Pelodiscus sinensis: one gene and its partners. The protein of the gene in region 1 purifies or fractionates together with the protein of each later gene. This does not show direct contact. Links are inferred from orthologs where the notes say so. Each region holds a gene or a part of one and is shown in the gene's direction. Other genes may lie near its edges. The genes, in order: MAP2K1, LAMTOR3 and MAP3K1.

Region 1 (7,365 bases):
CCCAGAGACCAAGAACGTTGAATCGAACTGTGCTGCATCTCTACTACCCCAAATTCAACCCAGGAAGGTTGAATTTAGTGCTAGTCTTATCAAGGTGGAGTAGAGTAGTTGATTTTAAACCCACTTAAGGTTGGTGGAAAGGGCTTGATGATGTAGACATTCATTATACAATTGACCTAATGTGGCTTACTTTGACCTAACCTCATAGTGGAGACCAAGAGTGAGAAATGGCTACATCAATTTCTCAGGGACAGATTAAGTCCACTTCTAGTCTGGAGAGAATTGTCACATGGGTTATTGATGGTAAGCATATCCCATTTGTGTTGAGGACTAGTGCATCTAGATCAAAGGCCAGTTACAACTCAGGACTGTTGAATTCTGTTGCTGGCTAGAGCAAGCTATTTTGCCTTTTGTGCCTTTACATCCCTGTGTGTAAAAGAGGGAACAACCTCACTGAAGCCTTTTCTTTACTAAGAAAAAAAGTAAATTTTTAACATGGTAGGTAGCATGTCAAATCCTAATGTAGCCTAGACAAGTTGTAATTTTAACAGTAGCTGGTTGAGAGAAACACCACACTCCCTACTTAGGTTTATCTTGACCAGATAACACTTGTTGGCACTAATACTAGCTTGTCTACACTCAGATCCAGATGCTCAACTGATGTAAATTGACATAGCTGCACTCCTTGGCTCCAATGGTTGTGTGCTGATTTACACCAGCTAGATATCATGGCTAAGTTTCTAAAATATTAGTTAGTATGTGTTAGCTAAGTAGAGTGTCAAAATACACATTTTTCCCTAGTGTAGATAGCCTAAAAGGCACATTAGGCTGAGAAATGTTAAGAGTGAACATCCTCCTGCCCACGCATCCATTGTATAGCTCAAATGACATGCAAACAGTGATCTATCACAAAAGGGCATATTCAGTAGCTTGCCTCATACAGAAAAATCTCCATAAAGGGTTGTCAGAGCAAAGATGCATAGTTGCTTAGAGTGACACTGTCAACTTGAACTGTTTGTAAACGGATTATTTTCAAAATTTTAAGTTTTCAGATATCCCAAATTTAAAAATAAAAATTCCTTTACACATTTGTAATGGTTTTTCTGCTTCTTTGTTGATGTTTAATGAGGTCTTTTATTCCAATAGTAAAGCAAATACAATACAGGAAAAGATGACATGTAGCTATCAATTGTAAAGCAGAATAATTTTCTTGATAACTAATACCTTGTAGATTGGCAAATCATTGCTTGAATTATCTCCTAAAATTGCATTTGTGCTATAATTAAAAGCTACATATTTATTTTGTGTAACATTTTGTTTCTGTTAATATGAGGACATCTGGAGTGGTGGAATGTGAACAATGCTATTAGCTTTTACATTAAATGTGTTATAAATATCACCAAAGTGTTTACGTAAGGGAAGGGAACACACTCAGCAGCCATGGTGATTTCATGCTAAGACTCAAGCTATGTATTATCTGTACTAAAAGAATGCTTTGGAGACTGATATCGTAAGCATACTTACAGATAGCACCCATTTAAATGTTGTCACAAAGCCCTACAGATGTGTTAACTGGATCCCACAGAGGGGTAGCTGAGTTAGTCTGTAACAGGAAAAACTTAAAAAACAACAAATAGTCTGGTAGCACGTTAAAGACTAACAAAACATGTACATGGTATCATGAGCTTTCCTGGGCACAGCCCCCTTCTTCAGATGTGTTAGCCATAAGGCTTTACCTCGTTTATTTAAAAAAAAATATTTTCAAAGCCTACAGTTTAGCCAGTGATCAGTCTTAGGAGAAAATGTGCTACTGGAAAGATTTAATTGTCCCAAGACTGCCAGTATTTCAAAATTAAACTGTTATTGAAATATATACTGCATACATTCTTTGACTTCTCACCTTATAACTTATTAAAGTAGATTTGGGCATTGAATCCAGGGGCTCAACTGTGAGCCCTTCTGTGTTCTCTTGAGGATTTGCCTGGCCAAACCTGCCTGTGAACTCACCTGCCAGGTTGCAACACGACTCACTGAAATTTGGTCCAGCCTCCTCTCTGCCACATTAAGCTGTTGGTACCATGTGAACATTTCCTAGAGCGCCCCTGTCCGGCCTCTCCTCTTTTGGCTCACGTGGGCAAAGAGTGAGTGGTGAGGAGCTGAGAGATGGTCACTGCCCTGGGAGGAGCTACCACAGTGGGAGGAGTAGAAGTCTTCACTAGCCAAAGGGCTGGTACAGATTACCTCCCTGCTTCGGAACAAAGGGGAAACAGGAATTAGGAGTTCGGAATTAGAGTCCTGGTCTACATTTAATAGGTAAATTGCCATGGTTATGTTAGTCAAGGATGTGGAATCCCGCCCCCACAAGTGCTACAAGTGTTGTAGAAGTGCTGACCTAACAGCCAGTATAGGCACAGATATGTCAATAAAAGAATACCTCTGTCCGCATAGAAAAACATTTAATCATGAATTCATGACCTTGCATGAATGGTCTATGTGACATCACACGGTACGGAGCAAAATAGCATCTTGTATATACTAGGTATTGCTACAACCCCAGTGGTGCAAACCCATTTGGGGGTCTCAACCCACATTTTGAAAACTACTGATTTAAGTTTTAAAGCTATTAAAGGAAGCAATGAGGTGAGATTCCTTATATATCTGGCTTTGAATGATTTTTTTCTATAACTTACACTCTCTCAGTCTATTCTTGTTTTTCTGGCAACATACCACAGAACATTATTGAATAAATGGTTATACCCCACTAGAATTTCAAGAACACGTGATGATTAAAACTTCTGTGCATTGCAACTGTTCATTAATTTGAAATATGTCCTGATATTTAAAATGAAGAGTTTTTTAGAGATACATATAAAACAATTCAACATCACTTGTACATAAATACAGATTGTAACTTTCATTTAATATGAATTCGTATTGAGTATTTATTTGATAAAGTTAAAGCAATGGGTTAATAACAGCAATTTTTGCACCTGATCTTCATTCTCACTTTAATATATATAATGAGTTATTTTCTAATGGTATTATTACGGTTTGATCTTTATTTCAAGTATTTATGGGGATAAATAGAAACCATTAATACGCAAATTCAGGCTAATGTTTTAATTATAAATACAATACTTTCAATATATAAAGTATGCAGAGTAATGATTTTATATGGGGATTAAATTAAGTTGTTCTTCATGTAACATTAACACTGTAGGCTGATATGCAGAGTAAGTATTTATGGTAGACATTTGCTAATTTAATTGCTACAGACCTCATAATTCCATTTCACAGAACTTCTGAAAAATTATAAACAAAAGGTTACATACTCATAGCAGATTAATTTACTAGATGTTGACAGTTCCTTTTGTAATCCCCTTTTAAATACAAAGCAGGCCTGTACGCAAGGGGATAGGAAAGCACCCCCTTGAGTCCCCCAAGTAAGTATGCTCAGGCTGGCCAGGAGAGTGCTGCCTGAGCCTCCCTTGCCCATGCTCTGGTCTGCTGGGAGAAGGGGGGCTGATTTCCCTGCTTACTTGGGGGACCAGAGGGGGGTGCATTCACACCCTTGCAGACCACATTTACAAGAAAGCACCCCCCACAGAAATTTCTGCCTATGATCCTGTAAAGCGCACAAATGATTAAACGACTGTCCTCTAGTTGTGGTGCAAGTAACCTAATGATGTTCTAGTGACACAGAGCCTAAGATTCACCCTTACATATTCTAACGGTTTGGAACATTTTAACCCCTCCCCTCCCAAACTGGCCAAGAAATGATTGGAAGGCAGGGGAGAAGAACAGCAGAGCTGTGAGTTTCCTGTTGCCTTTCTAGTTACAAACAGAGTAGGTCATGATGAGGAAAAGTCTAAAATGCTCTGCTTTTTGAAATATGCATCCCATTGCTCTTTCACAGAGTAGACCCCATCCCATGCACAGCTCTAGACTGTCCTCCAATGCTCATAGTCACAACCTCCCCATGAGTTCTACACTCCTAGCATCTGAAGAAGTGGGTTGTACCCACGAAAGCTGGTGATACCATCTACCTGTTTTGTTAATCTTTAAGGTGCTACTAGACTATTCGTTGTTTTTAACCTCCCCATTGTTTTGCTCCATTCTGGTGACTTCCGACGGGAATCCTGTCCTGCTCTCACCCCCCTCTGTGTCACCTGACGATCCCCTCCGTCTCTTTTCGAGCCGGGGCTGCGCGTTTTGCTCCTGGCTTGTGTCTGACGATCCCCTTTCGGGGCCCAGTTCTCAACCGGAGCGCGCGTGTGAACCGAACGCGGAGTGACTCCGGTGCGTGTACACGAGGAAGGGGGGGATGGGAGGTGGTGAGAAGGGAGGGAGAGAAGCCCCGAGCTCTCGTGGCGTGGCCGCAGGGAAGATGAGAATCCGAAGCAGGCCCGCGTTTGACTCAGAACCCAGCCCCGGCTCCCCAAGGAGCGAGTCCCCGGCTCGCCCCGGGCGCACACCTCCCCCGCGCACCCGAAGCGAAACTCCGGGCAGAGGAGCAGGCGGGTGCTTGCAAAAGGCGGCCCTCCCCAGTGCCCATGAGCAGCGGCTCCACACTTGCGCACTGGGGCGGGCCGAGGCTTTGCACATGCACAGTAGCGAGCAGGGACGCGGTTTGAGCTCGGGCAGGGTCCGCTCTCCCGGCGCCGCTCGGGGAACTTCGGACTGCTCAGGCGGGGAGCGGCTGCCGGCCCCGGGAGCCGCGCTGAGCGCCCGGAACGCGGCTGCCGGCCAGGGAGCGGCCGCCGGCTGACCGGCGCAGGAGCCCAGAAGCGCTAGCAGGGAAGATCGCCTAGTGCGGCGGGAACTGCCGGAGGAGCCCCGCACTCTGCCCGGCGGGAGGGAGCCCCCGGAGCTGGGCATTTTCGGGAACTGACGAGCCATTCTTCTTACTGCAAAATGCCTAAAAAGAAGCCGATGCCAATTCAGCTGAACCCGGCTCCAGATAGCTCCACCATCAATGGGACCAGCACTGCAGAGTGAGTACAGCCTCCCTGGGGCTTGGGTGTTACTCCTGCCTTGGAGGAGAGAGGGGTGGGGCAGATACAACCCAAGATTCGCTCCCCTGCTGTGTCTCTGGGGGACCGTGCTCCTAAATCTCTTAGTCTGGGGATAACGGGAAACATTTCTGCACATTCTCCAGGACTCCAGCAAAGCAAAGCGAGACGATGGTGCTTAACACGAGCGCCTCAATCTCTGTGTCTAAAAAATAAAAAACACAGGAGGTGTTACAGGGTACTGTCAACAGGATCTTTTTTTTAAAGGCCACTGTTACAAAAGGTTCTGTTAGAGCAGCCTTTCATTATCAAGGCTTAATTAAAAAAAATCAAAATAATCCAGGGTGGGTTTTTTTTGCCCCCTTGTTAATATTTGTGTCTTTTCAGAAAGGACAGTGAATTTGGCGACACAAAATTCTGTCAGATGCATAAAGTAAACAAGGTGAAAAATAATTTTATAACTTCAGTCACAGTTTTTAATTCTGGTAGATACAAACATTTTAGATGGAAATGTTATTTCCATATTAATGGTATCTTTTACACGTGCATGTACTATATGATAAGTACTTAGCAAATGTCAAGTACTTTTTTCCAATAGGAATATTTTATATATGTAAAAAAGAGTAATTTGCTCTGGAAATCAGAAAGTCATTCCTCCTTTTTATTCTATAACAGACTGCAGTCCATTTTAGAAAATCTTTTCTTTCAGTCACCTCAGCTGTCACATTTGATTACAAATAATACTCATGTGGAAACAAGATGCTACACTTTTTGGGTATAATGAAAACATTGCAAAAAAATCAAGAGGGAAGTACCGACTAGCTGATTTGATCCTTTTTTTTTAACAACAATAACAAAGATTGCAGTCCTTAAAATTATGGGTTACCTGTGAATTTATGGGTAACAAAACATGCTTGCTTGGGAAGTCTGTATTTAAATTATCTGTAGTGTAAAAGAATGAAGAATTACAAAAGAGTTTGAGTTTGCTAAAGGCAACAGGTTGGCACGCATCATTTCATTCTTAGCCTGAGGTTATGAGAGAGAGAAACAGAGGTGTTGAAATACCTACAATCCCTGGAATACAGGTTGCTATCCCAGAAAGGTCAGTGTGACCCTTCTGCTTTGTTAGGGAAATTAAATTAAGTTTGTGTGTGGGTTTTTCAGAGGACATCTGAAATGGAGGTTCCATCAGTTCTGTTAATCATGCGGGGCCGATGCCCCGCAATTGGTGACGGGTTTTCAAATGAGCTTGGTTGCCATTGTTACCTATTTAATACTCTAATTTTCAAACTTATGTAGGAGCTAGTAGCTCCCACTGTGATATTTATAACCAGATTTTCAGAAGCACTCAGTGTCCATTGTGCTGATCTTCATTACAAATCTAGCCAACCACCCTGGTGCCTTAATGGGAGCTGATTTCTTCTGAAAATCTGTCTTGGACAGCAGGTGCTGAACTCTTCTGAGAAGTTTGGCCTAAGTGTCACCTGGGTTCTGCCCTGGATTGTGTTGTAAAGATTAATAAGATACATATCTAAATTTTCCTGTACAGGGATCTTCATGGCTGTTACAAACATAATCTGATTTAACATTAAATATCTGTGAGTGTGGGATACGGTTATCCCCATTTTACAGAGAAGCTGAGACACAGGCCAAATTTATTTATTTTGACACCTAAAATTAAAAAGCAGGTATCCATTGCATCTCCCCAATGTTCTTTCTTTCAAGGTTACTCATTTTAGTCCCAGAATTCCATACAACATTGCAACAAGAGAAGTGAGTGGACTCCAAATTTGAATGCAAGCTATTTACACCAAAAACAAAGATATATGAACCTGAGGTTATACAGAAAATGTTATTTGTACAAAAAGCCTGAATCTTACAACATTTTTCAGTTTTCCTGCAGTAATCATTTGTATGTGCCTTCCTCCCCCTTGAATCTTTGTTATATATTACATCTCAGATTTAACCCTCGGGAGGTTAAAATGTATGCTAGGTGCTTTTGATGACATAAATAATACAAACAGCAAATCAACAACCTGCCCTTACATAGCAAGAATTCAACATCAATCAAAAACACTCATCCTCCCAACAAATGCCAACTCTTATTGTGACACTTCCTGTATGACTTAAGATGCATGAGGCAGAGCTGGGAATGCATCCCAAATCTTGCTCCATTTCTGTGCCTTTTGAGACCAGATTATACTACTTTTTGCCTTTTCCCCTAATTCTTTTCCAAGTACTGCCGTGTCCTGATTCGTTAATGCTTTGTGCTGCAAAGCTGCCTGGATTTCAGTTGTGTTGTGTGCATATAATATGTAAAATTTTTGGAATTCTACAGACAGGTGTTATGTAT
Region 2 (7,754 bases), on another chromosome or scaffold:
GACTCCCATTTTCTGTTTGGTTACTCACTATTAAAGATAAGAATTTTTTTCAATGTGTTTAAATAATTTCCCTTTTAAGCATGTTGAACAGAAACATAACATATTCCTTATATTAAGGGTTATGTGATGTGTGTTTTTAAGGCTTCTTTGCATATATAATTTTCCTGGCAAGTACATGATTCCTTTTCACTAAATACCAAGGTTTGCTGGTCTTGGGACCACTAGACTTGTGAATACTGTGTGTGCATGTCTATAGGTGTATATATTTCTTTTCCAGCTAATACCTCAAACTTTGTGATAGTTTAATATTGTACCACTGTAAATTTGCACAGAACAGGGCTTCCATTAGGCATTACAACTATCCATCCAAATTTGAGGGTTCTGGTGTAACTAATCTTTAAATACTTTTTCCCCCAATATGTGGGTAAACATTCTCATTAGAGTCCGTTTTTAAAAGAAAATGATAGCCTTTTGCGCTTCCCAGAAATCTGAAATCTCACAAAGTAAAAGCATTTCTCAACTTAAACTGGGGAAGGTAGTTAGAAATGGCTTACATTTCAAATGACGTTTCTGAACTTGCTGCTGGCATTGGCTGTATGGTCAGTTGTGAAACTGACATTTGGAGAATGTAAAATCATGGAAAGCTTTAAAAATCTCAAGGAATTTAAATGTTTGTTCTTTAGACTTTTAAAAAGCAGTGCAATATGGGAAATGTGATTAGGCTTTGCAAATCATGTTCAATACACCTAATAATGTAATGGAAGCCTTGCAAAGGAAATCTGGTGAGATGAAGGTGGTATCTTAACAAAATTCTTATTTTGTTTTGTCTAACTCTATGGCATTTCCAAGATGTAAAGGTTAAGTTTAAAGAGACTTGCCTTATTTATAATATCTAATGTAATATTAGACATATCAAAATAAAATTATTTTCAGTGTGTAAATGTGCAAACATCTTATTATTTACATGTTAAAGAAAACTTTAACTATTCATTCTAGTTTTAAATTCAGAGGCTTGTGTTTTATTTATGCTCAGCTCATGTAGATACTGAACTAAGAATAGGCACATATTTGATCTTATAAGATAAATTATTTCTTTTTAAGACAAAGTTATCTAGCTACTAAAATATTTCATCTTAAATTCTTATGTATTTGGAAAATATTGCTGGTTTGTTTTATAAATTAAGACTTTTCTGCACAGCCATTAATTACCATAAGGAAAACTGCCTACTTTCAATAAACGTGTTTTCCTTTCCCCTGAAAAAAACAACTTTCAGTCATAAAGTGTATAGTATCATGAGCTTTTGTGGTCACAACCCACTTCTTCGGATGTCTGAAGAAGTGGGTTGTGTGCACAGAAGCTCATGATACTATATATATAATTTTTTAGTCTCCAAGGGTATGTCTACACTAGTTTTTTTTTCTAAAAAACTTCAATTACATCCACACTGCAATCGCGTTCTTTTGGGAAAAAAATCGAAAGAACTGAGAGGTTTTTCCGACATTGGTTAACCTCTTTCTACAAGGAAGAAACCTTTTTTCGAAAGAGCTCTTTCGGAAAAAAGCGTGTGGGGACAGGAAAGAGGGAGTTCTTTTGATTTTAATAGGGTCCATATTTTACCCCTAATCCTGCTCATTAGTTATGCATTTGTTACACAGGGACCTGGGTCGTCAGCATCTGGGACCTTAGTGTCTAAAGCCATGTGCCTCTACAGCTTGAGCTAAAACCCAACTCTCTCTCAGCTAAGGCTGTAGAGCAGCCTTCATTCTCATTTGTCCGTTGTTCTCAGTGCTTCTGGGTTACATGTATGTCTGAGTTTAACGTTAAAAATGGCATATGATTTATTATGGTTCTACATGTATCCTTTCTTTATAAGTAACAATGTTCCTCTTCAAATTAGAAAAATAAATAAGTAGCACAAGCACATATGTACCCCTCATCCCTTACAATTTTATATTAGATCCCAACCTGGATTTAATATACTGTATGTCTACAGTTTATATAATTAAGACACATAAGCTACTTTATTTAAAAATGAGTGAACAGCAGTGATAATGAAAATGAGCTACTCAGAAAAGTGGTGTACAAATAGAGTTCGCTATTTTGGGGAGATTTTTTTTAAAAAAAAAAATCTTCCTGGGAACGATCATGTAAACAGCAAAAGTCTGAACTTATCAGAAATGACAGGCTCAAACAAACTCCATTTGGATATTCTGTTCTTGAGTACTAAAAGAAGAAAATGACTTAAATCTTGCTGAGAAATTCATAAACTGATAGTAAACTTCCACTCTTGTCCTGATAATCAGATAAAAATTAAGTAAACTGCATCATGCATTAGGTTTCGGTAGGTCCTTCATTCTGTGATTTTTTGCACCATTACAAAAGTTACAGGGAAAAAGGATGCACTCTGAAAAATATCACCATCTTCCTCCCCAAGATTCATCTGATGAAGTGGGTTTTATTCAGGAAAGTTCATGAGCCTATGTATTTTTGAGTGGTCCCCAACCTTTTGGGGCTGCCAGGCACCTGGGGGTGGGGCCATTCACATACCGGGCACCCAAGCCGCCCAAACGCTGCACTACCGGGGCCGGCGCTGCTCCTGTGCCATGTGCCCAGGGGCAGACATGCCCAGGAGTCGGCAGCACCCATGCGCCGCGCACCTGGGGCCGGCACCACTCCTGTGCCGCGTGCCCAGGGGCAGGGACGCCCATACACTGTGTGCCCGGGGCCAGCACAGCCTATGCACTGTGCGTCTGGGGGCGGAGCCGCCCATGTGCTTCGCGCCCGGGGCTGGCACTGCCCTTTTGCCATGTGTCCGGGGGCGGGGCCAGCCCCAATCACTTATTGGGCACACTGTGCTGGGGAGCACTGCGTTGGAAACCACTGCTCTAAGCCCTGGTCTACACTAAGGAGTTACTTTGAAATAACTCCCCATATTTCAAAATAATAAGCGGAGCGTCCACATTACCAAGCCTATTATTTCAAAATAACAAGCTGGGTATTTTGAAATCTGTACTCCTACTTTCCATACGGAGAATACTTATTTTGAAATATTTCAAAATAACTAACTACTCCCCAGAGTAATTTGAAGTAAGTATTTCCCAGTACTTCCTAGGGCTCTAAGACGAGGTAGCGTATCTACAACAATGGAGCCTGCCTCGGATTAATTTTGAGGCTCCTGTGTGGTCGGGGACATGCTATTTTGATTGTTATTTTTGGAGTTACTTTTAATTATTTTGAAATTTCCTACTGTGGACATTAGGGATGTTAAGTTGTGATTAATTAGCTAAATGAGTAGTCAATGGAATTTCCAATGCCTACTCCATTAGTCAATAATGAGGGGGGCGCTTGCTACCCCTGCTGCAATTCTGCATTTTAAATGCAGTGAGCTCTTACTATATTTAAAATGCAGAGCCGTAGCAGTCCCAGGGCTGGCATGAGCCAAGACTGCTTAGTCCTGGCTCGTGCTGGTAGGGTTGCCAGGTGTCTGGTATTCACCTGGACAGTCTTGTATTTTCTCCTCCTGCCTGGTAAAAAAAAAAATTCAGACTATTAGACACCTGAGATGTCTAGTATTCTCTGAATTTTTCCCTGGCCAGGAGGCAAAAATGCTGGGCACATGGCAATCTTACAAACACTCAGTGCCTGGCCTCCCACTCCCTCGCATCCCCCCAGCTCCCAACACCCCTAGCCCCTCTGACTTCAGCCCCCATGCTTACCTGGTTCCCCAAGGCTGCTGGCACAAAATAGCTACTGGCCAAAAGACCTAAGGGAAGCAATCTTCCCCTTGGGTCTTAGTGCTCAACCACTTCCCTGTTCCTATCCATGCACTCACCCTTAAAGGGGACATGCTGTTTTTGGGCTTAAGTCCTTGGAGTCTTTTTTTGGGGGGGTTGGGGGAGCCAGCAGCTTTGGTTTCCCCTCACTTTCCCCTCTCTTCTCCCCCCCCACAGAATTTTTTCCTGGTGGGTTTTTTGGGGGGGGGGAGGAGGGTTGGTATTTTTGTTTCAATCATCTTGCAACCCTATGTGCTGGCCCCGGAAGCTACCCCTGGTGTGGCTCTGCAAGTTCTTACTACAAAGGCAGAGCCCGTAGCAGGGGTAGCTTCGGTGTGAGCCAGAACTAAGCACACTCTTCCCTACCCTTATGCAGCACCGAGACTCAGCTTTTAGGCATGTTCCTCACAGCACCAAGGGAAGAAGCAGAGTCATCTTGATTACCCACAAACACAGGTCATGTAATCTTTGTCACTGGAGATATTTAAGGGTGGGTTGAATACACATCTATCAGAGCCTGGCTAGACTAGGGTTTCCCAACCTGTGGTCGGGACCCAAATATGGGTCACCAAGTCTTCCTCACTTGTGGAAATGGATCCCCATCTGGAAAAGGTTGGGAACCGCTGGCCTAGAGACGATGCTGGGCCCTGAGGCAGGGGCCTGGACACTCTCCAGCCAGGTCCCTTCCAGTCCTAATGGTCTCTGGTTCCAGCCCTAGCAGACAGGCCCCCCGCACTGCCCCGCCCCCTTAGCAAGATCCCTGCAGCACCAGCACCGCCGGCTTTGCGATGCCTGACAACCAGGGCTGGGCGTAGCTACGGAGCATGCTCAACAGCGCGAGCTCCGCAACAGGGTGCGCGCGCGCCTCTGGACGCCTCCAGGGCCCGGCCGCGGCTCAACGAAGTGCAGTCACATGATCGCCTCCGCACCCTCTGCGTTGGGGCGGAAGCGGGCAAAGACGCCGCCGTGGTTGCGCGCTCCCACTCGCGTTGCCCTGTCACGGCTCTCACGGTCGGGCATGCTCCGTAGCTACACGGGAGACCGAGCTGACGCTACAGCCGGAAGTGACGCCGGCAGGGGTGGGTGGGGCGGGAGGTCTGTGATTGTTTCGTGCGTGGGGCATCACGTGATCGAGGGCTAAAGGAGAAGCGGCCGCTCGCTGCCTGGGCTGTTGTTGCGGGGGATCCCGGAAGCGACCAGGGTAAGGGAGCAGGGGGGCTGTAGCTAGTGTTATTGTAGGGCCTACTGTATTGATTCCTCCCTCTATGCGGTGCGGGGAGTCGAGCTATAGGGGCCCGGTCGGGCCCGCCTCCCCCCAGCGCCGCCACAGCCCACGGCGCGGCCCCTTTCTCGCTAGCCCCCCCCTCGCCGTGCGGGAACGCCCGGGCTTGAGCGTCTCCCGGCCCCCCGTAGGGTCAGGTAACCCTGGCCCAGCCTGACCGGTGTCTGTCCCGTCTGTGCTAGAAACCTGCAGGGAGGGGACCTTCCAGCCTGCTCTGGAAACCTGGCCCGGGTCTCCGCTGCCCCGTAGCCAGGCTGCCTTCGGCCCGTTACTGCTTCTGCTGCTCTTAGAGGATACAGACAACGATTGATCTCAGTCCCTCTAGCAACCCTTTTCTACCAGCCCCCACCCTCTTTTTCTGTCAACAGCCCCAAGCTCCTTGTGTGTTTTTTTTTTTTTAAATCTTTCCTCATAGAACAGATTTTCCTCACCTGTCCCTCCTTTTTTCCTCATGTAAGATTGTCAGTGCTTTTGCGGAAATACTATGCTGCTCCCGTTCAGGCAAAAGTCTTTTTCCAAACAACTTTTGCGCAAAAGGGCCAGTGTAGACAGCAGAGATTTATTTTCCGCAAAAAAGCCCCGATCGTGAAAATGGCGATCGGGGCTTTTTTGAGGAAAAGCATGTCTAGATTGGCAAGACGCTTTTCCGCGAAAGCACTTTTTGCGGAAAAGCGCCCGTGGCCAATCTAGATACGCTTCTCCGAAAATGCTTTTAACAGAAAATTTTTCCGTTAAAAGCGTTTCCGGAAAATCATGCCAGTGTAGACGTAGCCAGAGAGAATATCAAGAAATAATGTATACTTACCTTAACCTCACACTCATTTCCCCCCCCCCCTTTTTTTTTTAGCGCCCAATCCCTGAAGCTAGATTTGCACTACAAACCTACATTGGCATAAAAATGTAGCTCAGGGGTATGAAAAATCCACATCCCTATGCCATGCAGTTGTCCTCTTAGCATATGCACATCATGCTTCAGGTGGCATGTGACCAGGATTAATCACCAGATTTGGTCTATTGGTTGGCACATTCACTAACCTGGCTTGGTTCAAATACTGAAGGGGATTCTGATCCTTAACCCCCATCCCACGTGATGCAGTTATAACAACCTAACTCTTGGTGCTGTCTGATAGTGCTGTCTGAGAGCTTCTCCTGTGAACATAGCTACTGCTTTTTATGGAAGTGGATTAACTTTGTGGACTGGAGAAGCTCTCCTGTCAGCATAGTAGGACCTTAACCTAAAATACTACATCTGGACAGTTGTGCCATTGTAGCTTTTTAAATGTAGACTTGCCCTGAGACTCTATCTTATTTATGCAGCTTTTGATCCATGATTGCCCCTGGGACTACTTTTGAGGAAGGCCCTCTGGAGAAGGGCTTGTGTGCATCTTGTAAGACATTTTCTTTTAAGAGCAGTTCAATGCCCAGAACTCGCTCTCTTGGGCAGGTGCCTTGGGCATTATATTCTTCACGTTGGCAGAGGAAGGAAAGCTAGGGAATGCTAGAAATTAATAGGGATGTTGCTCCCTCCTTAATTTTATGTGAGACTAAACAAAAAAAGAGAAAGAGAGCAGATAAAAGCTTATGTGCATGACTATTGTTGGCTCTTATTTTTCAGGAACTTTGACAGTACATCTGATTTATTTAAAAAGTTTCAAAACATGGCCGATGTAAGTATTTTGCAAATATGCTACCTGCCCTAAAAAGCTTACTTTACAGACCCATCCTATATGCTGATCCATATGGGCGTGCCTTTATGAAGCCTCACTCAGTGCAGTGGAACTGACTTATGGCAGTAAAGCTATGCGTGAGTTATGGGGTTGCCAGATGGTTTAACCAAAAATACTGACGACCATCCCCCTCCCCCCCCCCCCCCCCAAAAAAAAACAGAGGAAAAAATTCTGTTGGTGGGGAAAAAAGGGGGGCGGCAGGGGAGACCAAAGTTGTTGAGCAAAAAAAGGGGGGGGGCCCTGAGAGTTAAGCGCAAAAAAACAAAAAAACCCTGCATGGTCCCTTTAAGAACAGGGGCTGGGCTCTGCCTCTCTTAACAGGCTGCAGGTATAGCAGCAGAGTGAGGGCCACAGCAACAGCAGCTTTTGCTGAGTATGCTCAGTTGCATAACACATGCTCAGTACGCCCTAGGTATGACTTTCTGAGAGGCAGCTGTTTGCGACGCTACTTCGGCCATCTTCTCTGCCTTTTCTCCCTGCTTTGGACCAGACAGCTTCCCTGCAGAATGAGGTATTCGGTGGGGGAAGCAGGCAGGCTGGGCCTGGTTGCTTAGGGTTGCCAGGTGTCCCTTATTTTCGCCCCCTGGCCGGGAAAAAAATCAGAAAATACCTGACATTTTAGGTGTCTGGTATCTTCTGAATTTTTTTACCAGACAGGAGGCGAAAATACCTGATTGTCTGGGTCAATACTGGACACCTAGAAACCCTAATGAGCTAAAGTATTTGTAGGACTAAGTCCTTAGACATCTATAAACACTTTGAAAGGAAAATAGGCCTTCACTGTCTGAGAATGACGTTTCAAAAGCTTCAGGGGGTAGCCTACTTAGTCTGTACAGGATAAACTTAAACAACAAATAATTTGTTAGTCTTTAAAGTGCTACCAGAAAATGTAGATGGTATCATGAGATTTCTTGGGCACAATCCACTTCTTCAGATGACCAGAGTGTTGGATGTCCAGAACTAAATGACAT
Region 3 (7,508 bases), on another chromosome or scaffold:
TCTCTTGGAAATTGTTAGTGGGCTTTATTAGTCATGTTCAAAAGGAGCAAAGCCTTCTTAGATAAGGATTCCTTCATTCTAACACCTAAAATAACCCCAATATAGGATTATTTCCAACAGATACAGTTCTTACCATCTTTTTGAACTGAGAAATTATTTGTCTGTCAGCCAGTGATGGCACGTCTACACAGCAGGACTGAAGCTGAAATAAGCTATGCAACGTGAGCTACGTCAATTGCGTAGCTTAAATCAAAATAGCTTATTTTGGCTTTTGGTGCTGTCTACACAGAAAGAAGTCTAAGACAGAGCACTCTTCCTCCAACTTCCCTTACTCCTCATAAAATGAGGGTTACAGGAGTCGGAATAAGAAGTCCTCCAGCTCAAAGTTATTTTGACATTATGTCGAAATAACTGCTTGCTCCGTAGACACGGACTCTGTTATTTCAGAATAATGTCAGTGTCATGGGGTGTGCATGCCTCACACTGGAGCAGAGGGAGTGAAAACCCTGTGGGCGGAAGAAGCCTCACCCCTTCAACCAGACTGGGCATACTCCAAGTGCTGGGGCAGCATAAAAAGCAAGAGAGCATCTCAGTCTGGGCTGGACAGCAAAGGAGAAGAACCTCCGGTCAGAGCTCCCAAGTTGCAGAAGCCAGCGAGAACCAGAGTCCCGGGAGATGGCTGCTACGCACCCCCCTCGGAATCCCAGGGAGAAACTGCTACCGGGGAACTGGGAGACTCAGCCGCTACATGGGAGGTTGACCTGCCAGAATCAGTAAGAAGTGACCCAGAAAGGATAAAGGAGCAGCCTTTCACAACCAGGTATACTTGGCGTGTTTCGGCTGGATTCCCCACTGAGGGAGTGGTAGACCATTCTGCTGCTCACAGGAGCCTGGGTTGGGACCCCATGGAGCAGTGTAGGCCTGGGACCCCCTACCGGGATGCTTGCTTCAACCCTACTGACTATGGCCATTAAGTCCTACTGCTCTGTAGCAAGTACTACTTACTGACTCTGTGCTGCCCTGAGACAAGGGCTATTTACTGACTCTGGCCATTGGACCATACTACCCTGCGACAAAGGCTACTTACTGACTCTGGCCACTAGGCCACACTACTCCAGAGAGAAGGCTGACGACAGACTCTGACTGGTAGACTGTACTGCCCTGAGAGAAGGACAGCACTATTGACCTTGGACACTAAGCTCAACTTTCATAGACCACAAGGGGGTATTTATGGACTACAGAGACAGCTAATGACCCTGTGGGCAATCAGGAGGTGTCCACACCCCTGAATATCTTCACTCCTATGATGGGATGTGCATATGTCACCATAGTCTGTTATTCCAAAATAATGCTGCTGTGTAGACATAGCCTAAGAGCTTTAAGTAAGAAAGGGAGGAGGGGGAGTTTTTAAAAGAAAGGAGAAGTGTTAGAAGAGCAATGGTAAAGCAGAGTCAAGAGGGCACTATCAGTCTCCAGGTGAGTTACCACTCAATTGTCTGAGTTTTCTATCATGTGGCGGTGCAAACACAAAAGAGAGATGGCTATGGAACATGTTCACTTTCCCTTCAGCTATAGCCCATCTAAGCACTTGTAGACTGAATGTGAATGAGCTGTCTATGAGCATATTTTCACAACCAAACCTACCATGTCAGAGGATCCAGTTATCATGAGGTGTTACACTTTGCTTGTATAGGCATGACCAAAAGCTGTTATGTTATATAATTCATTTTCTCTCTCATCTTTACTTTGTGCAGACAGTATTGCCTACTTTATGTATTCAGAAGCATAGAAGATTCTTAACTGCATGTTGTTTCTATGTGTAACTGTGTTTGAGATTAACTGTGTTGAAAACTATGCTGAATTCATATTATTTTAGGTATTGAGAAAAAGATGAGCCTTCAGCTTGCCAAAATTTACCATATTCCCATATAGAACTTTATCTGTGTATAACAGCCACACTCTTTCAATTGTTGCAAGACAACAACTTGAGGATCTAGGCCAAAGACTTCAGTTTCATAATCAGTCTTGGATGTTACCACTTACAATTTAGGGGAAATGTGCACATAGAAAACGATTAACTTCATATTAGTCTATAGTACCGCAGATTTTAAATTAAATTAACTCATTGGAGCGCAATAGTTTGAGAGTTCCTTGATTGCAGTGCTTTTCTTCAACACAAACAGGTTTTCTGCAGAATGAATACCTGCAGGATATGACGCAATGGCAATCTTATTTCTTCAATATATTTCATGCTTTGTACATTCATGCTTAATGATACTCATTAAATGCAAAATAATTTAAACCTAAACAAGTAGACAAATATTGATGTTCCCCTGGTACAGAATATATTTCTAATTTTGAGAAGTCCATTAGTTTCAGTGTTTCCTTTCAAAGTACAAAAACTCATTCATCTAATCTAATACCTTCAATACTTACTTCATTTTCAGTTTCTTTTAATTGATTTCCTATATATGCTTAGCTATTAGAACGACTTGCTTTTAACTATCTCTTGTTGCTTAATAAGTTTAAATTGATGGTTTAAAATTCTTCTCTAAGTTTGTATGTTCTGTGACTATTTTGTCTGTTCCATGTGTCTAAATCTTCTCTCTGTCCCTGTTTTAACTATCAAGTATGGTCTTGGTAGCGGGATTACTATAAGGTGGTTGCATAACTGTCTGGAACCCCATTGTCAGAGTTTAGTTATTAATGATTTTAAGTCATGCAGGAAGGGCACAAGTGGGGTTCCACAGGGATCTGTTCTGAGACCAGTTCTGCTCAATATCTTCATCAACAATTTAGATGGTGGCATAGAGAGTATGCTTATTAAGTTTGCAGATGATACCAAGTTGAGAGGGGTTGCTTTGGAGGATAGGGTCATAATTCAAAATGATCTGGATAAATTGGAGAAATGGTTGGAGGTAAATAGGATGAAGTTTAATAAGGACAAATGCAAAGTACTCTACTCAGGAACGAACAATCAGTTTCACACATACAGAATGGGAAGTGACTGTCTGAAGGAGTACGGCAGAAAGGCATCTAGGGGTCATAGTGGACCACAAGCTAAATATGAGTCCACAATGTGATACTGTTGCAAAAAAAGCAAACATGATTCTAGGATGCATTAACAGGAGTGTTGTGAACAAGACACGAGAAGTCATTCTTCTGCTCTACTCTGCATTGATTAGGCCTCAGTTGGAGTATTGTGTCCAGTTCTGGTCACCACATTTCAAGAAAGATGTGGAGAAATTGGAGGTCCAGAGAAGAGCAACAAAAATGATTAACAGTCTAGAGAACATGAGCTATGACGGAAAGTTGAAAGAATTGGGCTTCTTTAGTTTGGAAAAGAGAAGCCGGACAGGGGACATGATATTTTCATGTATCTAAAAGGGCGTCATGGGAGAGGGGGAATCATTCTGTTTTGCTTCTGAGGATAGAACTAGAAGCAATGGTCTTAAACAGCAGCAAGTGAGGTTTAGGTTGGACATTAGGAAAAATTTCCTGTTAGGGTGGTTAAATACTGGAATAAATTGCATAGGGAAGTTGTGGAATCTCCCATCCCTGAAGATTTTTAAGAGCAGGTGAGACAGACATCTCTCAGGGGTGATCTAGATGGTACATGGTCCTGCCAGAAGGGCAGGGGACTGGACTTGATGATCTCTTGAGGTCCCTTCCAGTTCTAGTTTGGCTAAAATCAAGTGTAGTATCCTCAACCTGTCCTTTTGGACACACTACCCTGGTGCGCTATGACTGAATTATTTTTGGAGTAGGGAGCTGGATTTGCCCAGCCCTATGCATCAATCTGGTATTACAGTACCTCCAGGACTGGTGCACTACCATTCACTTGCTATACTACTACACAGTAATGTGTTCTCTCAAAACATTTGCTTGCTATTTTCATTCTATGATTCTAAAACAACAAGGAGTCTAGGGGCACTTCAAAGACTACCATGCTACCATGTTTTTAGGGTATTAGAACATAAGCTGTCATGAGCTTGAACTCACTTCCTCAGATGCTGAAAAGAAAAAATAACAACACAAGGGGAGGGAAGAAGGTACAGAGCTGGGAGTGCTAATTAAATCAGAATGGATAGGGCTAATCTCCAAGTGTGGTGAGGAGGTGCGTGTACTTGAATGGGAAACTATCTATTGTAATGCGAGTACAACTCTGGTGGAGGGGAGTTACCTCCAAACGAGGAGCTTGTATTCCCCACATTCTTAATACAACCCTCTCCCCTTTTCTCCGGCTATGGGATACGTTTTGCCGAGTGGAGGGAGATCTTCTCAGTACAGTGCAGGCGCGGGGGTGAAAATGTTTGCTTCTCAGCTGGAGTCCCATCGCCCCCGGCATCTGCGCCAGGCAAGGTAGGTGAGGCTCTCACTGGCCTCGCTACCGCCGCGGAGAGAGAAGCTCCCCAACTGCACGGAGCTTTCCGCGCTCTGGGGGAGCCGGGCAAGGACACACCGGTCAGAGTCTCGGGATAAGCCCCCCAGTCCGGCGGGCAGGAACCGGCCCCTTGATCTCCGAGGAGTGAAGGAGGCGGGGTCGCCTGCCGGGTCCTGCACCATCCAGCCCCCCCGCCAGGTGCTGGCTCCTCCGGCCCAGCCCCTTTCCCCAGGCAGGAGCCAGCCCGCCCAGCGTAGGTACGGCCAGGTCCTGCCACCACCTGCCCGCGGGCGGCGTCGAGCGACCGCTCCCAGCCTCACCTTCTCAACGCCCGTCCCGCCTGCGCTCAGTTCCCACCCCTCGTACGCCTTTGGCGCAGCCCACGCCGCTGCCGCAGCGGCCGGAGCGCGGCTCATCCCCCGCCTCCCTGCTCCGGAGCCCGATGTGACCCGCCAGAGAAAATGGCGGCGGCGGCGGGGACTCGCACCTCGTCGTCGGGATTATCCTCGGGCACCAGCGCGGACGCCGCCGCCGCCGCCTCCGGGAGCCTGCAGAGCGGCAGCGGCGCGGGCAGCTTGCCCGGCAGCGGCGGGGGGCTCCTGCGGGAGGCGGGCGGCGGCGGCTGCCGGGAGCAGCGCTCAGACTGGAGACGGAAGCAGCTGCGCAAAGTGCGGAGCGTGGAGCTGGACCGGCTGCCCGAGGCGCCCCTCTTCCTCGCCGGCTCGCCGGAGTCCCCCGAACCGCCGCCGCGCTGCCTCGCCGGGGGCTCCGGCCCCTCCAGCCCCGCGTCTTCCCCCGGCCGCTGCGCCGCGCCCCACGAGCCGCTGCCGGACGGGAGCCCCGTGGGAGCCGACCCCGCCGCCGAGAGAAGGATGGAGCCGTCTCCCCCTGCCGGGTGAGCGGCGCGGGGCTGGAGCGGGCGGCGGTGAGGACCCCGGCGCCTCACACGGGGCAGCCCGCGCAGGTGTTGGAGGTGGGGGGCCCGGCGCTGCTGGCGGCGTGGGATAGTGCGCGCCCGGAGCCTGGCCCCTGCCCCTCCTCGAGCTTTCGGGTCCCCCTCTCGGTGGAGACCCAGCCCCGGGAGCCTGGCGCTGCGCCCATGGGCAGGTAGCGGGGACGTGCTTTTCGGGCCCGGATTTGCTTGCAGGGGCGCTGGGATATGCGTGGGGGACGGTGTTATGGGGCAGAGGGGGTGGCTGGTGTGAGATCGCCCCCGACAGGCCCCCCGTGTTTGTGGGGAGCTGTCATCTGTAAGAGAAGGGGGGGGAGTAGGGGACTGGCCAGTAGCTTGTTGTGTTCAGTGCCTCGTTGACTTATGCGGCAGGCGCTGCAGGATAAAAGAGCTAGGATTGTATTTCCCAGGACTGTGTAGCCTGTGCATCAACTTCTCATTTGTGTTACCTTTGCCCTGCCAACCCGTTTGTGTGTGCTGCTTTCTGGAAGTCGTGACTCTTAGTTAAATGGGAATCGCAGCTGTTGGGGGGTGAGGGGAGTGATTTATTTCTGCCTGAGCTCCGAGAGGCTTTGAAGTTTGAATTTGCCCTGGTGGTTGAGGACCCAGGACCGGATGTGTCAGCCATTCAGTTTCAGTGCAGTTAAACCCGTTAACTCTTCCAAGCAGTGCAGCAGAGTGCATTTGATTTTTTTTTTCCTGCTAAAGCATCCTTCCCCCCGGATTCACCTCACCTCCCCACAAAAAAAGTGTGTCTGCTTTTCATAATCTATATAGTACTTATTCTAAACTACTTAGATTTTACATTTGCCTTTGCTTTCCCATCGGTATAGTTAAACATTAATAAAAATGAATCCTTTCTTCTGTGGCTTGTTTCACTTGAAGTTGTGGAACTGTTTTGGTTTTGCTGAATAAAAGACAGTTTACAAACATGAAATATCTACTCTGCAAAAGTGTAGAAAGTATAATGTGTTTGCAGTAATTATACTGGAGACTGCATATTGTGTAAGATGAGACGTGGTATCTTTATAGTGTTAGTCCTATTCTGTATTTTATTTGATAATACTTGAGATTTTATAGAGCTTTCCAATTTTATAGTTATTGTGATGCAATCCGGGGCACAAGTTCAATAACTAGGATACATTCAATATGTATCTTACACACGCAAAGGCATTCAGAATTGAAGCTACCATGAGCATATTTTAAAATGCTTTCTCATGTACTTCTGAATACGTTGTACTTAATACTTTTAACGTACACTTGCTAGCATTTAGTATGTGCATAGGTGAGAGTAATGGTGGAGATAGAGCTTGTAATCTTTATATAGATTTAACAATTACTGTAGTTTCATAAGGATTTTTATATGAGACTTCATGTGTAAATAGTGAATTGCAGCGCTTGGCGGTGAAGACTGAGTGTTGATAGGTTTACTTCTAAAGTTATTTTACAGAGAAAAAGAGCTTTTAGTTGGCTACTCAACTCACAACAAAGAAATCTGTCTTTCCCATTTGTGGTAGAAGGACATTCAAAAAAAGATTTCCATTCTAGAGAATGCTTTACTAATATGGCAATCTAAAATCAGCAATTGTTTGGGTATCTAGATGTATTCTGTGCAATATTTGTGGACTTTCACATTGCTGTAAATATAAACCAGTTACTTGACAGTAGTATGATACCAGCAGATGAAGCACCAGTGTAGTTATAGAAAGATTAATAGGAAATCTATGTTCATGAAGTTACTTCAAGGAAAAGATGATGTACAAAAGTTGGCAGTTGACTTGTTTTTATTTGATTTTGTATGATTATCTCTAGAGTTTTGACAAGGTATGAAACTAAAATATACTTTACTTCATTGTTACCTCATATATAGGTGTTACCATTGTAGCAATTAAATAATTCTGTACCACATAAGAGAAAAATAACTAGCATAAACAACATCAAAACATGCCTTTAAAACAGTAAAAGTTGCTTACAGTTTTCAGTGGGACTTATTGCTAGTTGTTATGGGTTCAGGAAGGTCAACATTTGTCACATCAGGCAATCACAGCTAAAATATTGACTCCATTCTTGCTTGCCAATTCCATGGATTTAAAAAAAATTCCTTAAGTTAGTTCCTGTTTTCTGTTTCAAACTCTTTTAAACCGTTTTTTTGTTTGTATTTAAAGCACCCAA

Evidence for each region.
Region 2: the proteins of MAP2K1 (region 1) and LAMTOR3 purify together in Homo sapiens (affinity purification with western blotting; 3 studies listed by BioGRID, with this or other methods). This does not show direct contact. The link is inferred for Pelodiscus sinensis from reciprocal best matches to the Homo sapiens genes MAP2K1 and LAMTOR3.
Region 3: the proteins of MAP2K1 (region 1) and MAP3K1 purify together in Homo sapiens (affinity purification with western blotting; 3 studies listed by BioGRID and IntAct, with this or other methods). This does not show direct contact. The link is inferred for Pelodiscus sinensis from reciprocal best matches to the Homo sapiens genes MAP2K1 and MAP3K1.

The regions. Positions count from the first base shown.
Region 1 is NC_134724.1:4,697,216-4,704,580, reverse strand, and holds the start of MAP2K1 (dual specificity mitogen-activated protein kinase kinase 1), read left to right. Parts: upstream 1-4,335; 5' UTR 4,336-4,914; coding exon 4,915-4,994; intron 4,995-7,365. UniProt on the Homo sapiens protein: Dual specificity protein kinase which acts as an essential component of the MAP kinase signal transduction pathway.
Region 2 is NC_134715.1:23,356,169-23,363,922, reverse strand, and holds the start of LAMTOR3 (ragulator complex protein LAMTOR3), read left to right. Parts: upstream 1-4,701; 5' UTR 4,702-4,975; intron 4,976-6,671; 5' UTR 6,672-6,714; coding exon 6,715-6,723; intron 6,724-7,754. UniProt on the Homo sapiens protein: As part of the Ragulator complex it is involved in amino acid sensing and activation of mTORC1, a signaling complex promoting cell growth in response to growth factors, energy levels, and amino acids.
Region 3 is NC_134716.1:95,999,316-96,006,823, reverse strand, and holds the start of MAP3K1 (mitogen-activated protein kinase kinase kinase 1), read left to right. Parts: upstream 1-4,417; 5' UTR 4,418-4,845; coding exon 4,846-5,279; intron 5,280-5,468; exon of another isoform or gene 5,469-5,483; coding exon of another isoform or gene 5,484-5,491; intron 5,492-5,612; exon of another isoform or gene 5,613-5,951; coding exon of another isoform or gene 5,952-6,085; intron 6,086-7,508. UniProt on the Homo sapiens protein: Component of a protein kinase signal transduction cascade. Activates the ERK and JNK kinase pathways by phosphorylation of MAP2K1 and MAP2K4. May phosphorylate the MAPK8/JNK1 kinase.